Linked DNA regions of Daphnia pulex. The protein of the gene in region 1 purifies or fractionates together with the protein of each later gene. This does not show direct contact. Links are inferred from orthologs where the notes say so. Each region holds a gene or a part of one and is shown on either strand. Other genes may lie near its edges.

Region 1 (5,619 bases):
TACTGCCAGTTAGAAAGGGATTCACGACTGATGCTCTATTGAAAATCTAGTTTTTTTATTCATTGTAGTTAACTTGACGGGTAATTTTCAATTAGGGATTTTCTTGAACTCATTCAATGAATAAAACTTACTTTCGTCGTTAGCAGCTAATTTTAGATGCTTAAAAAATAAATGTCATTTTAAAATAATTAAATAAATTTCAATTGTGAATTTTTTCTATAGTGGATAATTCAAATTCTTATTAAAATTACATCCTTTAACATTTACTAGGATGATGTAACTGGAAACAGAATAGAGAAAGAATTGGATGTAAAGGATGACTGGCGAACTTAGTACAAATTTGCATAATATTTGATGTAATAATGTGAATGATAAACTTAGCCATTAATAACTTACGTGCGAGCAGCATTTATGAAAAGTATTTATTGTATTACATAAATGAGAGAAGAGATAAAGGCAATCGGGAATCAAAGTTACAAATTGAAAATTTTACTTTAAAAATGTATGGTTCCATTAAATATCAAAGTTTATGCTTTGTTGGGTTGCATTATCTGGAAAGTCGGTAACCTGATGAAATACACACGTAATGTGTCACAAATATATTTGAGGACGAGTGTTAAAATGAAATAAAAAAAAAATCATACCTGGATCGAACTTCGTCTGAAAGGTGCTGTAGAATCCAGCTATGTTCAAGTAATTTTCGTAGAGGGATACGATCTTCTGCTCGTGGTTTGAGTAATTTAGCAATCAAGTCTTTCGCTCCAGTAGAGAGATGTGCTGGAAATTTCAAGTCAACTCTACAATACGAATTTATGGCATGGAAAATGTAAACGCTTAGAATGCCTCTTAACCACATTGGCAAATTATGCGATAAAATTAATACTTGCAAATACGGCGGTAAGTGAGATCTTGCTTTTCCTCTTCAAAAGGAGGTGATCCCACTAAGAATTCGTAGCAAAGAATACCAAGAGTCCACAAATCTACACGTTCGTCGTGAGAGCGCCCTTCTACCATTTCGGGGGCTAAATAATCCAATGTCCCGCACATGGTTGTACGCCTATTGAACAAAAACAATATAACATAAATAACTTCGATTTGTTTGGTTCTACACTAAACAATCATATTTTACTTTACCTAGACGAAGGAGCATGGACGGACCAACCAAAATCGGCTATTTTAATTTCTCCATGAAATCCTAGTAAAAGATTTTCTGGCTTAATATCTCGGTGGATTACTTTCCGCGCGTGACAGTATATCAATGCATCAGCTAGCTGAGCCATGTAATTGGCCGTCCTAAAAATAGGGGTAAATTATTTTCCACAGAACTTATGTTTCTGTTATTTTAAAAAATTTACTGTGGTTCAGAAAAACGGCCATTGGGTTGGCGTTTCAGGTACTTGTACATTTCTCCATTTGCGGCGAATTCCAAGATGAGGTAAATACGAGTTTCATCATAAAAATATCCGTGCATGCGTAAAACATTGGGATGTCTACAGTAGAGTCGCAGAAAAGGTTGATGTGCATTAGTGATATAAATTTTCCATAAAACATGTGATCTCATTAGTATGTACCGTAAATGTGACTGGATTTCAATTTCACGTCTCAACTGGTGTTCCATCTGACATTTTTGTAGTTGAGATTTAAACAAAACCTTCAGGGCTACAATGTATTTGGTATTGATTTCTCTAGCCAAGTACACATTTCCAAACTTCCCTTTACCAAGAGGACGGCCAATTTCGAAGTTATCAAGACTCCATCTGGGTTGAAACAAACAAGCAGAGAAACACACATGATTTGGAAGATTAATGCCACAATTAAAATATTTAAGTCAAGAAGATAAATGAGAAACACTTTGTTGGATTCTGAAAAACAAAAAATTCTAACATACTTTGAGTTTTCCAACTTAACAGTAGGTTGGTTTGAAGAGTTCTCTTTAAGTGGCTGCTTGGTTTCCATGTTATCTGTCAATTTCAAAATCAAAACATGAAACATTTACAAAAACACGAAGTTCAAACTTACTTATTCACTTACATTTTCGTAAAAAACGTTTAGATTGGTCTAAATTTTCAAAATGTGTTGTAATTGTATATACCTGTATACCAATGTCTAAACTTCTAAACTCTAAAACCCTAAACCGTGGTCTACTACGGTGCTGCTGCTACTGGACGGTTTTGGACAAATGGGAAAATATTCAAACGGCAGAACAACCGGCGTTGCCGGTATGATGGTATTATGGAAATATTTTCGCCTCCTCCGTTTGTCGTTTTTCTCAGATTTTCTATAGACTTCGTCTTCGTGTCTAAGACTAATTTATTATTAAATTATTTCATTATCATTAAGACGATTATTGTTCTCGGTGCTCTGCAATCTGCAAATAGGCCTAAGTCAATTTCGACAATCGTCGATCGTCGACTTCGCTACATTCTACCGCTAGTCTCAAATAGGAACTAGGAGGGTAGGAAGTAGAATAGCCTGAAGTTTGTCTGCTGCTTAGTGCTTTTGATACGTAAAAAATGGCGACTGACGGAAGCAAAAAGCAAGCTAAAAATGCTCCGAAAAATGTTAGCAAATCGAATGAAGAAGTCATCCAAGGATTTCAAAGATTACGAACTGAACAGAGACAACTAGCTAGTAAATTATCTGAGCTCGAAATGGATCTAAACGAGCACAAGTAAGTTTTACCGGTTTCACTTTATAAACAGACTTCCATAGCGTGTAGAGGATAATTTACTCCTACTATTAACTATGTCATATTTTTTTTCTTACTCAGACTAGTAATAGAAACCCTTCAAAATGTGGATGAAGACAGGAAGTGCTTTCGCATGGTTGGTGGAGTACTAGTTGAACGAACTGTCAAAGAAGTTCTGCCTGCACTGACATCAAACAGGGACCAGGTAACTTGTTTTCATATTGTATTATTTGGTTGTAATTTTAATTACAATTTATTTTTTATATAGATGACTAAAGTAATTGAAGTTCTCAATAATCAAATTTCCACCAAGGGACAAGAAATTAATGACTTCAAGGAAAAGAATAATATCAGGATACGAAATCAAAATGAACTCCCATCTACAGCTCCTGATAATGAAGGAGAAAATAAAGTTGCCAATCAGGGGGTTTTGGTGGGCACCAAACCTTAACTGATATACCTTGTTTTGTATGCTCTGCTGCTGAAGAAAAATCAGAAAACATATGTTTTGCTTTTGCTTATTTTTATGAATCTAATACTTTCATCTGCTCTACTATCCTAATGGAAGGTTAGAGTACTAAACAATCTGTGTGATTTACCAAGAAAGCTTTTAAGAAGCTTAGCTATTCTAACTTTTGATGTATTTATGAATTACTAGCAGGAATTATTCTATTAGATTTCTATTGAATGCACAATAACTTAGTTTATCTCTGGTTTCTCCGAAGAGCGACAACGCTATAAAATCATATGGATTTGAGATCACACCGGATTTTAAACCAATAATTTTTGCTGCTGCGAACTGTTTAGTTTGTGTGTAATATTTGAAAAGTCAAAAGTGTTCCCCACAAAATTGCTTTGGCGCAGTTCTCCGTAAAATTTGTTTTACAGATAAGTAAACAATGGTGATCAAAATATTTAATTTATTTTCTAGGTGAAAAGTTGGTCTAGACAGTCTACTTATGCAGTATACACCAAAACGATTCGACGACGATGTGTGGGAATTGGTCTCGATGTCAGGTTAAATTCTCATCGTAAGTTTGCTCTCTTTCTTTGTCTGCTCGCGGCTTACTATCTAAATAGATTAAGCCAGCCAACCAAGGATTTTATTATTATTTTTTTTTTTACCGGGACTTTCTTAAAGAAACTGAATTAGTGAACAAGACAACTTCTTACAGTCATCGTTTCTTTTAGAGTGAGCCTATCCTCTCTGCGAATAGCACTAAGGATGAGAATGATTTCTGTAACTTCAAAACACATCTTCATAAAACGTTCGTAGTAAATTTAAACTTAAATCCAAGTGATAATTATATCCACTAGAAATTGTGTGTTGATTTGTGTCTCGTATTTAACTGTTTAAAATATCAAGTAATTTTTAAAAAATAATTCGTGTTCCCAAATTCTGTGGAATTATTCAAATTTTGATGGTCTTCTACTTTCCCTACTTGCTAGTTGCTTGCCAATCGTGAATCTCCGTCTATAAGTTGTAAAAAGCAACGATGGAATTTGTAGCAGTCAACTATCAGGGCAATAGGAGGAGGGGAAACAATCGTAGCTGAATTGGGCATGAGCATGTCGCTATTCCTTTGATTTCCTCCAATTGGTACGCAATAATATTTTGAAGAACAGAAACATTTGTGAGGAAACTGGTCTTAGCCGGTCTGAGCACTTCACATTTGAAGTTGTTACGGACAAATCAATATCCTTGGTTACTAGAAAACAAGTACGTGAACAAGTTGTTTCGGTAGATTATGCCACAAAATCTGAACCTTTGTATAAACTAACGGCACTTCAGTATTGTTTGGAAAAGGAGGTAAGTTGTGTTGCTAAACGACATAGCGCAAAGAGGATTTTATTTTGATAGATATTGTTTCTGCTGTTTATTTCAGATGTTAACATATGCCAATTTAATGTTAAAAACTGTTGATTAAATGAAATAATGTTTGCCTTTTGAAATTTGATTATTTTCTAGACAAATCAACAAAAATATTGTTGTCAGTTGTGTAAGGGACCAAAGACATTGTAACTTGAATAGCCTCATTTCCATCAGGATACACCATTGTTCCAACATCTGTTACAAAGAACTGCGCATCTTGGGAAATAAGGTACTCTTCGTCTTCTGGGACAGTGCTGTATGGTGCAATGTGATTAGCGTGTTTAGTTCCTTGGATTACAAATATCGTCCCTTGTCCCGTAGAGGAGTTAGCATATTTTTGAGCTATTTCCAAATTTTTACTTGATGACAAAAATCGATTGAAGCGAATGTATTGATTCACTTCGGCCGGAACTGTGTAATTCACCCCTCTGTAAAGTTCGAAGTCATAATCTTGACACGCCAGCAAGAGAAGTCCGTAAAATCCCTTGTAGTAATATGTATAGTAATTTGAATCATCCCGAAATGCGCTTGTTTCGTCATTAAACGCAATGTACAGATATTCAGGTTCAGACATCGAGTATGCATAGGCAGCCAATTGCTCCTGTAAACAATGATCAGTTTTTTTTTGTTGTTAATTTTAAATTTGTAGTGCGAAACTTACTGAATTGTAGGTAGGATTGGTTGACACAGCGATATCCCAAGTAATTTTCAATTTTGAATTGTTAAGCATATCATCTTCTAGCATTATCTCTGCCCTCTCGGTGGGAGGCACTGTCGGGTCTACTTCATAAATATCATAAGTGACATTCAGGTATAATCTAGGTTGCAGTTTGAAAGGTTCGAAAGATCTTTCGACGCCGTATGAATCTATCGTAAATGGCACACCATAGCGCGTGATACCGCCATTTACGCTTATATTAGGTAATCTGTGCAAAATATCGTAAGAACCAATACAATTTTTTAAAAAGTTTGCATAATCAATTTATCATAAATGAATTGCGCAACTAGTTTAAAGAGAGAAAAATTGTAATAAGACATGTGGTATGAAAAAAGAAAC
Region 2 (5,836 bases), on another chromosome or scaffold:
CGGCCCGTGTAACCGATATTGAGCGGTCCGTGCGCTCTCGAGATCTCCCCCCCCCCCCCCCCCCCCCCCCCCCCACGTCAGCTCCTATTCCGGCTTGCCAGGACTGGCTGCTTTTGCGGGACTCCCGACAGCACGGACATGCGCAGCAGACGGATGCTGTGCAGCCGGTCCGATAGAGTTTCGAGGAGCTCAGGAGCAGCAGCAGACGAGTTGCTGATTGTTTGTTTTTTTCTTCTTCTTCGGCTCCTTGTGTGTATAAGGAGAACGGCTCCTTACGTTTATCCATGTCTCTATACATTTCCCCCCCTCCATCCACCTCCTTTCGTCTCTCTCCATCTTCTTCTGCTGCCGTTAGCAGAAGGGGCGGCTAGGCTATAACATGAGCGGGATTGATTGGCTCAGCGGCGTATATATAAGGAGCAGTAGGGAGGGGGAGGGGGAAGGATCTTCGATCGGTTCCCGAATCTCTCGGGTGAGGAAGAACGACAAAGGGATGGAGGGAAGAGAAGCTTGTTCACCCAAGAAAGGGGGAGAGAAAGGCAAAGAAAAACAAACTAAAGAAGAAGGAAGGAAACGGGAGAAAATGGAAAATCTATGCTGCTGCTACTGCTGCTGGTTGAAGAAGAAGAGGAAGCAGAAGAGAGTGGTACCGACTTTGATAAGGCTCAACAAAAGCTTGTTTTGCGCTTTCCCCCCCTCTTCTTTTGATATGTGCGACAGTCGAGCACCAGAGTCTGTTTATTCATCATCAAACCGACGACGAGTGAGTGCGTGAAAATGAGAAGGAAACGACCATCAAGATTACGCCAGTGCCTTTTGTTGATTCGCCCTATTCAAACTTTGGTCTATATGTTTTTTTTTTTTTGCGGATTCAAACCCTCCACACACGGGATACATGTAGCCCTTTCATGGCGAAACAGATTTTTGATTATTATTTATATATGCTTCCTCCAAGTGTTAACATCGCCATCAATCCATCAGTATCACGTATACACACATAATAGTCTTTGGGGTCTATCTGGATTTAGGCTTTCTGATCCGCCCGAAAATTTATCGTGGCATCAGTAATGACGTTCATGCCAATGAGCTCTTGTTCTACTTTGAAGTATTATCGACCCAGTGCCGATTTTCTAGCCAAATGTTTGTTTATTTTTTAAACAAATGTGCTCGATTATTAGCCGTTTCTTTATTAAAATGAAATGTCAAATGCCAGCTATGATCCGATTGAACTGGAATAATATACCAACTCGGGAGGGATTTCGTCAGAGCTCCAGGCCTCGGGATCACTGACCCACGTGAAAGTTGCGCTCTACTTTATTTGAATTTTTTTCTCAAATAGAGTCTAATGTGCTTTCAGACTACGTCAATCAAATTTTTTTTTTTTTTTTTTTAGATTTGGTAGACACTGGCGGGCGCTGGCGGTTATCTGGCTTAAATCGCTGGTTATTAATTAGCAAGCATATACTCTTGTACATTTGCATAATCACAATATCTTCAAGTGTATGTGCGTAATTATATCTTTTCTCTTTTTATTCGGGGATCCTATTAAGTCAGCTTGGAAACTTTAAATCTTCCTCCTGTCAATTCCTTCTTGTCAGACCAGTCTTGTTTTCTCCATTTAGATTTACGCCATAAACAAAAAAAAGGATCTCGCGCGGCTTTCTCCCATTTCACTGCTGGCATATACCAGCCATAAAAAGCCTTTTCTTTATATTTATTCTATTTGAAAAACTTTGATAAAAATAAAGTTATGCATCATTTTCAAAGAGCTTTAAATTACCCAACTTATTACGCATTTGCCAAGTTAAAGTTCATCATTTAAATGAATTCACAGAAAGTAGAAACGTTTTAGAAATGATGTGCGGATCTAATGGCGGCGAAATGAGGTATTAATGTATCAACACGAACCCACAATACGTCCTACTCTTTAACAAGACCATTTATCACGCTTTCTTCTTCTTTGTACGTACTGCGCACTGACGCTAACTAGGTTAAGCAACTCGGTATTCACGGCTGTTTTTACGGATGAGAGGGACGCTCGGGTTGCTTGACCGCATTAAGTAAAGTGCGCTGGTATAACAGGCTACCGCACAACCGAGTGTAAACGACACTTTGATGAGGAAATTACTTGTCAACGCGCAAAACCCACCTCTGCAGCTGTTGTCGATTGTTCGGTGAACATAAAGGTCTATAAAAAAACGACAGAGAAACACGTTGAGATATGTGAATGAAGCGAAACAGGAGGACGGATGCCTTCTGTCTAAAACGTACATTTCAAGTGGCTTTCGTGAATCGTATAGCGTGATGGAATTCGCCAGGAAATATTTAATAATCAAACAGTTGTTGTTCCATAAGTTGATAAAACTCGTCTTCTCAGTTATTGCGGGCTCTGACGCACAAAGGGGAGATTGATATGATTGGTTAAAACATGTGAAACTATTTCGTCTCTATTGCGTTCTGTTTGTTTTGCTATCGATCTGCAGGGCAACTGCATATAATATGGCAAGTTCGCCACAAAGAAAACCGCTTACTTAGACGTGTTCATATTGCTTTTATTGTAAAAAGAAAAGCTCTCAAAAACAAATAGAAGACATCTTCGTTATTTATTACATTTTTTTTTTCAGATTTCCATAATATTACTTTCACGTGCACGACTTTCTTCATGAGCATTGCAACATGTTTTTGCTTGACATCTTTTTCGAAAATCCGAGAACCCATCAGGATTCATTATAATTTTCTAGTAAGTATCGTAATAATAAGATAGAAACCCGAAGAAAATTTCTCTTTAAGCGCGTGAATTTACACAAACACATTTTATGGAGCAAGCTAACAATTATGAAAGCCGTGTAGGCCTTACTTAATAGGGAATATAATAGCCCTTTCACTTTCCCAGTGGTCAATGCACCTGGGATAAAGACGATTTTTCTTGAAGTAATAATGCCGTAGTATTGAAGTAATAAAAACGAAATGTGCCATAAAGAAATTGCTTGTTAAATCCAGTAAAATAAAAATCCTAAAAAGAATAGTAATTTGAATAATGGCAACCAGCATATCATTATCGATTGAAATAATCGATAAATAGGCGTCGTCTGCTACGTAGGGGTTGTCAAGAAAAACATCATGGCCTCAGTAGCAGTTTCTAAAGATTCTCTTGAATCGGTAAGAAAATGATTTGACTTAAGAATTTATAGCTTAACGTGTTGCCAATTTCTAGTAGTTAAAGTAACTGAAATTATTTTAGGACTCTGACATTCACATTACATTGGAAGACCAACAGAAAATCAACCGGTTTGCACGACACAATGCAAAATGGGAGGAGCTCAGGGATGATCTGAAAAATAAAAAGGTGAAATTCTTTCTATTGCATGCTTCTTTTCGTAATGTGTGTGAAGTCTTCAAAATTATTATGTGTCATAAATGTGCTGGCAGAAATATTTTCGCATTCTGCTCATGATTCACGTTGAAACTTACAATTCTGCATTGCTACTCGTTTTCTCTATGCTTTGTTCAGGGAGATCTTCAAAACTTGGAGGATGCTTCAGATGATTTACTCTTGGTTGATGATGAATCAGCTCCAATTCCTTTCGTTGTAGGTGAAGTGTTTGTTCATTTCAACATGGAAGAGGCAAAGGTGATTTTCTTTTTTCCTCTTCTGTCAATTGTGCATCGCTGTTAAAGTACTGCTTATCGCTAATTGTTTGACTTATCACAGGAGAAACTTGAAGAAGCAAAAGACAAAGTGAAAAAAGATATTGAAGCCATCGAAGCTGAATGCACAAACATCAAGACTTTGATGAGCGATCTGAAGACGCAATTGTACGCCAAATTCGGTAATTCTATCAACCTAGAAGCCGAAGAGGAATAAAGAAAACGTCCAAAATGCTTTCTCCACTATAATAATGAAGAACAATACAAAAAAGAAAAAAACAGTCTTTGATAGCACTGACAGAAACAAATTGTCTCTCAAGCCACAAAGAGAAAAGTAAACAACAAAGCTAAAGAAAGTATTTTTAGCTAGTTTCCCTAACACTAAAAATATCTGCGAAGAAAATGTAACGCTTGACTTGCACCTCCGCAACGACGCCTCTGCATCTGGCTACCACTCGGTACCTCTTTAGTTTCGTAGAGGCCATTCACCGGACGGTTTTCCAGCCTTTCTCTCTCAGTCTCGAGCTCCACGACCTCGTAAAATAATCGATTGTTATTGCTTATGTATTCGTCCGTGTTAACCTCATTTGGACACGACCTGCAGAGAGGACTATCGTTGATACTACCCAATAGGTTCAGAAGAATACCAATCGGAAATTGTCACTTGACTGACCCAGTGACTTAGTTTTCTCGGCTGTCCATCACATGGCCGGTTTTTCATCATCCGGATCGTGCACGTTCATAAAGTCCTCCCTTCCCGTTATTGTGCTCATTACATCCGTTCGACGGTGGGTTTGCGAAGCTTGTCACGTCATGACCGTGCCGCCGCTCACTTTTCCCCTGGTCGAGAGGAAAACCCGCATCGTCCCCCCTCCGGCTGCAGATGGTAGACACGAAGTTTTTAAGCAAACAAACAAAAGAAACGAATGAATCTACAGGACAGGACGGAATATTCCTCTGCTTCTAAAAGCAATTGAAGAAAAAAGAATGAGAAGGAAAAACTTGTAACTAGGCCAAGGTTCGTTGGTACACGTTTTTGTTATAAGCTATTTTCAACTTGGGAATCATGAGAAACTTTTAGGGTACCTTCACGTTATTTCAAAAAGAGGGGGGGGGAACGACGATGCGTATGGCACTTTTGCGTTCACTTTCTTTCTTCTAGAGTTAAAAAAAAGAAGAGCCCCCAGATGCCTTTATTGCTTTGTTTTCCGAGCTGCGATGTACACAACAGACAGGAAAAGGTGTGGATACTCTACACCATATCTCTCATCTTTCTGTCATCATCTCCAAGGGTAAGTGAAGTGTTTTTAATTTCAGAGAAATAGCACACCACTTGGCCGATTTATATTTCCATCACACAATCGAGGCTGCTGGGTATTTTTCCAAGAGGGAGTATGATTGGTGTTGTGTAAGTTTCTTGTGTGTCAAAGGACTTGAAAAAAAGAAATAACAAGGTGGCAACGCTTGACACCGATACGTGCTGGCCATGACTTGCCTCCTACATGTACGACGTCCGAGCGGTTGTTGGCTTCAAACAAAAACAAGGACACGTGTTGCCAGTAAAACGAAACTTGTATTTTTGGTTGTTTGTATTTTCTTTTTTTATTTAATAAATTTTTGTTTACAGTTTTATTGTAGAAGGAAAACCCGACAAATAATTGGCAAAGTATCGAATTTGGGGAAATATTCAACGGAATCACCGCATGTTGGAAAAGGTTCGAATGGTACACTGGTCGCGGATCATCAGGTGGTTCGATGAACTCGAGCGAAAAAAACAAAAAGACATCGAGTTGTGTTGCGGAAGAAATGGGAAACGATCGAGGAAAAACGAGCGCATGGCAAAATTGAATACCAGTTCACCTCGGCTATATTTTTTGGAGCGGAATAAAACACCCGTAGTGGCGGGACGTTTTTTTTTTTATCTTTTTGGGGTGGACCAACAAATTGAGAAACTGGACAGTATCCGGCGAAGATGGGTTTTCCATTTTTGAATTTCTACATTCTCACCGCGTATTGGCACTTCTTACACGAGCTACTTCTTTCTCTATTCCACTTTTTAAATTTAATTTTCTTTCCTCTTCTTTTTTTTTTCACCCGGCTCATTTTTAGGGGAAAAGTTAATACTACTCTAGCTCCGCCCCCCTTTCGCCTCCTCCCTTCTCGTCTGAGGCAACCTATTTAAGCTCGG

The links.
Region 2: the proteins of prefoldin subunit 2-like (region 1) and prefoldin subunit 4-like purify together in Homo sapiens (affinity purification with mass spectrometry; 6 studies listed by BioGRID and IntAct, counting the BioPlex papers as one, with this or other methods). This does not show direct contact. The link is inferred for Daphnia pulex from reciprocal best matches to the Homo sapiens genes PFDN2 and PFDN4.

The regions. Positions count from the first base shown.
Region 1 is NC_060024.1:9,269,939-9,275,557, reverse strand, and holds prefoldin subunit 2-like, read left to right. Parts: upstream 1-2,426; 5' UTR 2,427-2,513; coding exon 2,514-2,671; intron 2,672-2,770; coding exon 2,771-2,894; intron 2,895-2,957; coding exon 2,958-3,140; 3' UTR 3,141-3,193; downstream 3,194-5,619. Other genes in the region: uncharacterized protein LOC124200621, read left to right, coding at 271-280; aurora kinase-like, read right to left, coding at 528-567, 645-797, 884-1,057, 1,135-1,293, 1,356-1,490, 1,572-1,757, 1,889-1,956; uncharacterized protein LOC124199325, read right to left, coding at 4,648-5,163, 5,224-5,488. UniProt on the Homo sapiens protein: Binds specifically to cytosolic chaperonin (c-CPN) and transfers target proteins to it. Binds to nascent polypeptide chain and promotes folding in an environment in which there are many competing pathways for nonnative proteins.
Region 2 is NC_060022.1:3,650,198-3,656,033, forward strand, and holds prefoldin subunit 4-like, read left to right. Parts: upstream 1-3,006; 5' UTR 3,007-3,120; coding exon 3,121-3,159; intron 3,160-3,241; coding exon 3,242-3,346; intron 3,347-3,511; coding exon 3,512-3,661; intron 3,662-3,712; coding exon 3,713-3,865; downstream 3,866-5,836. UniProt on the Homo sapiens protein: Binds specifically to cytosolic chaperonin (c-CPN) and transfers target proteins to it. Binds to nascent polypeptide chain and promotes folding in an environment in which there are many competing pathways for nonnative proteins.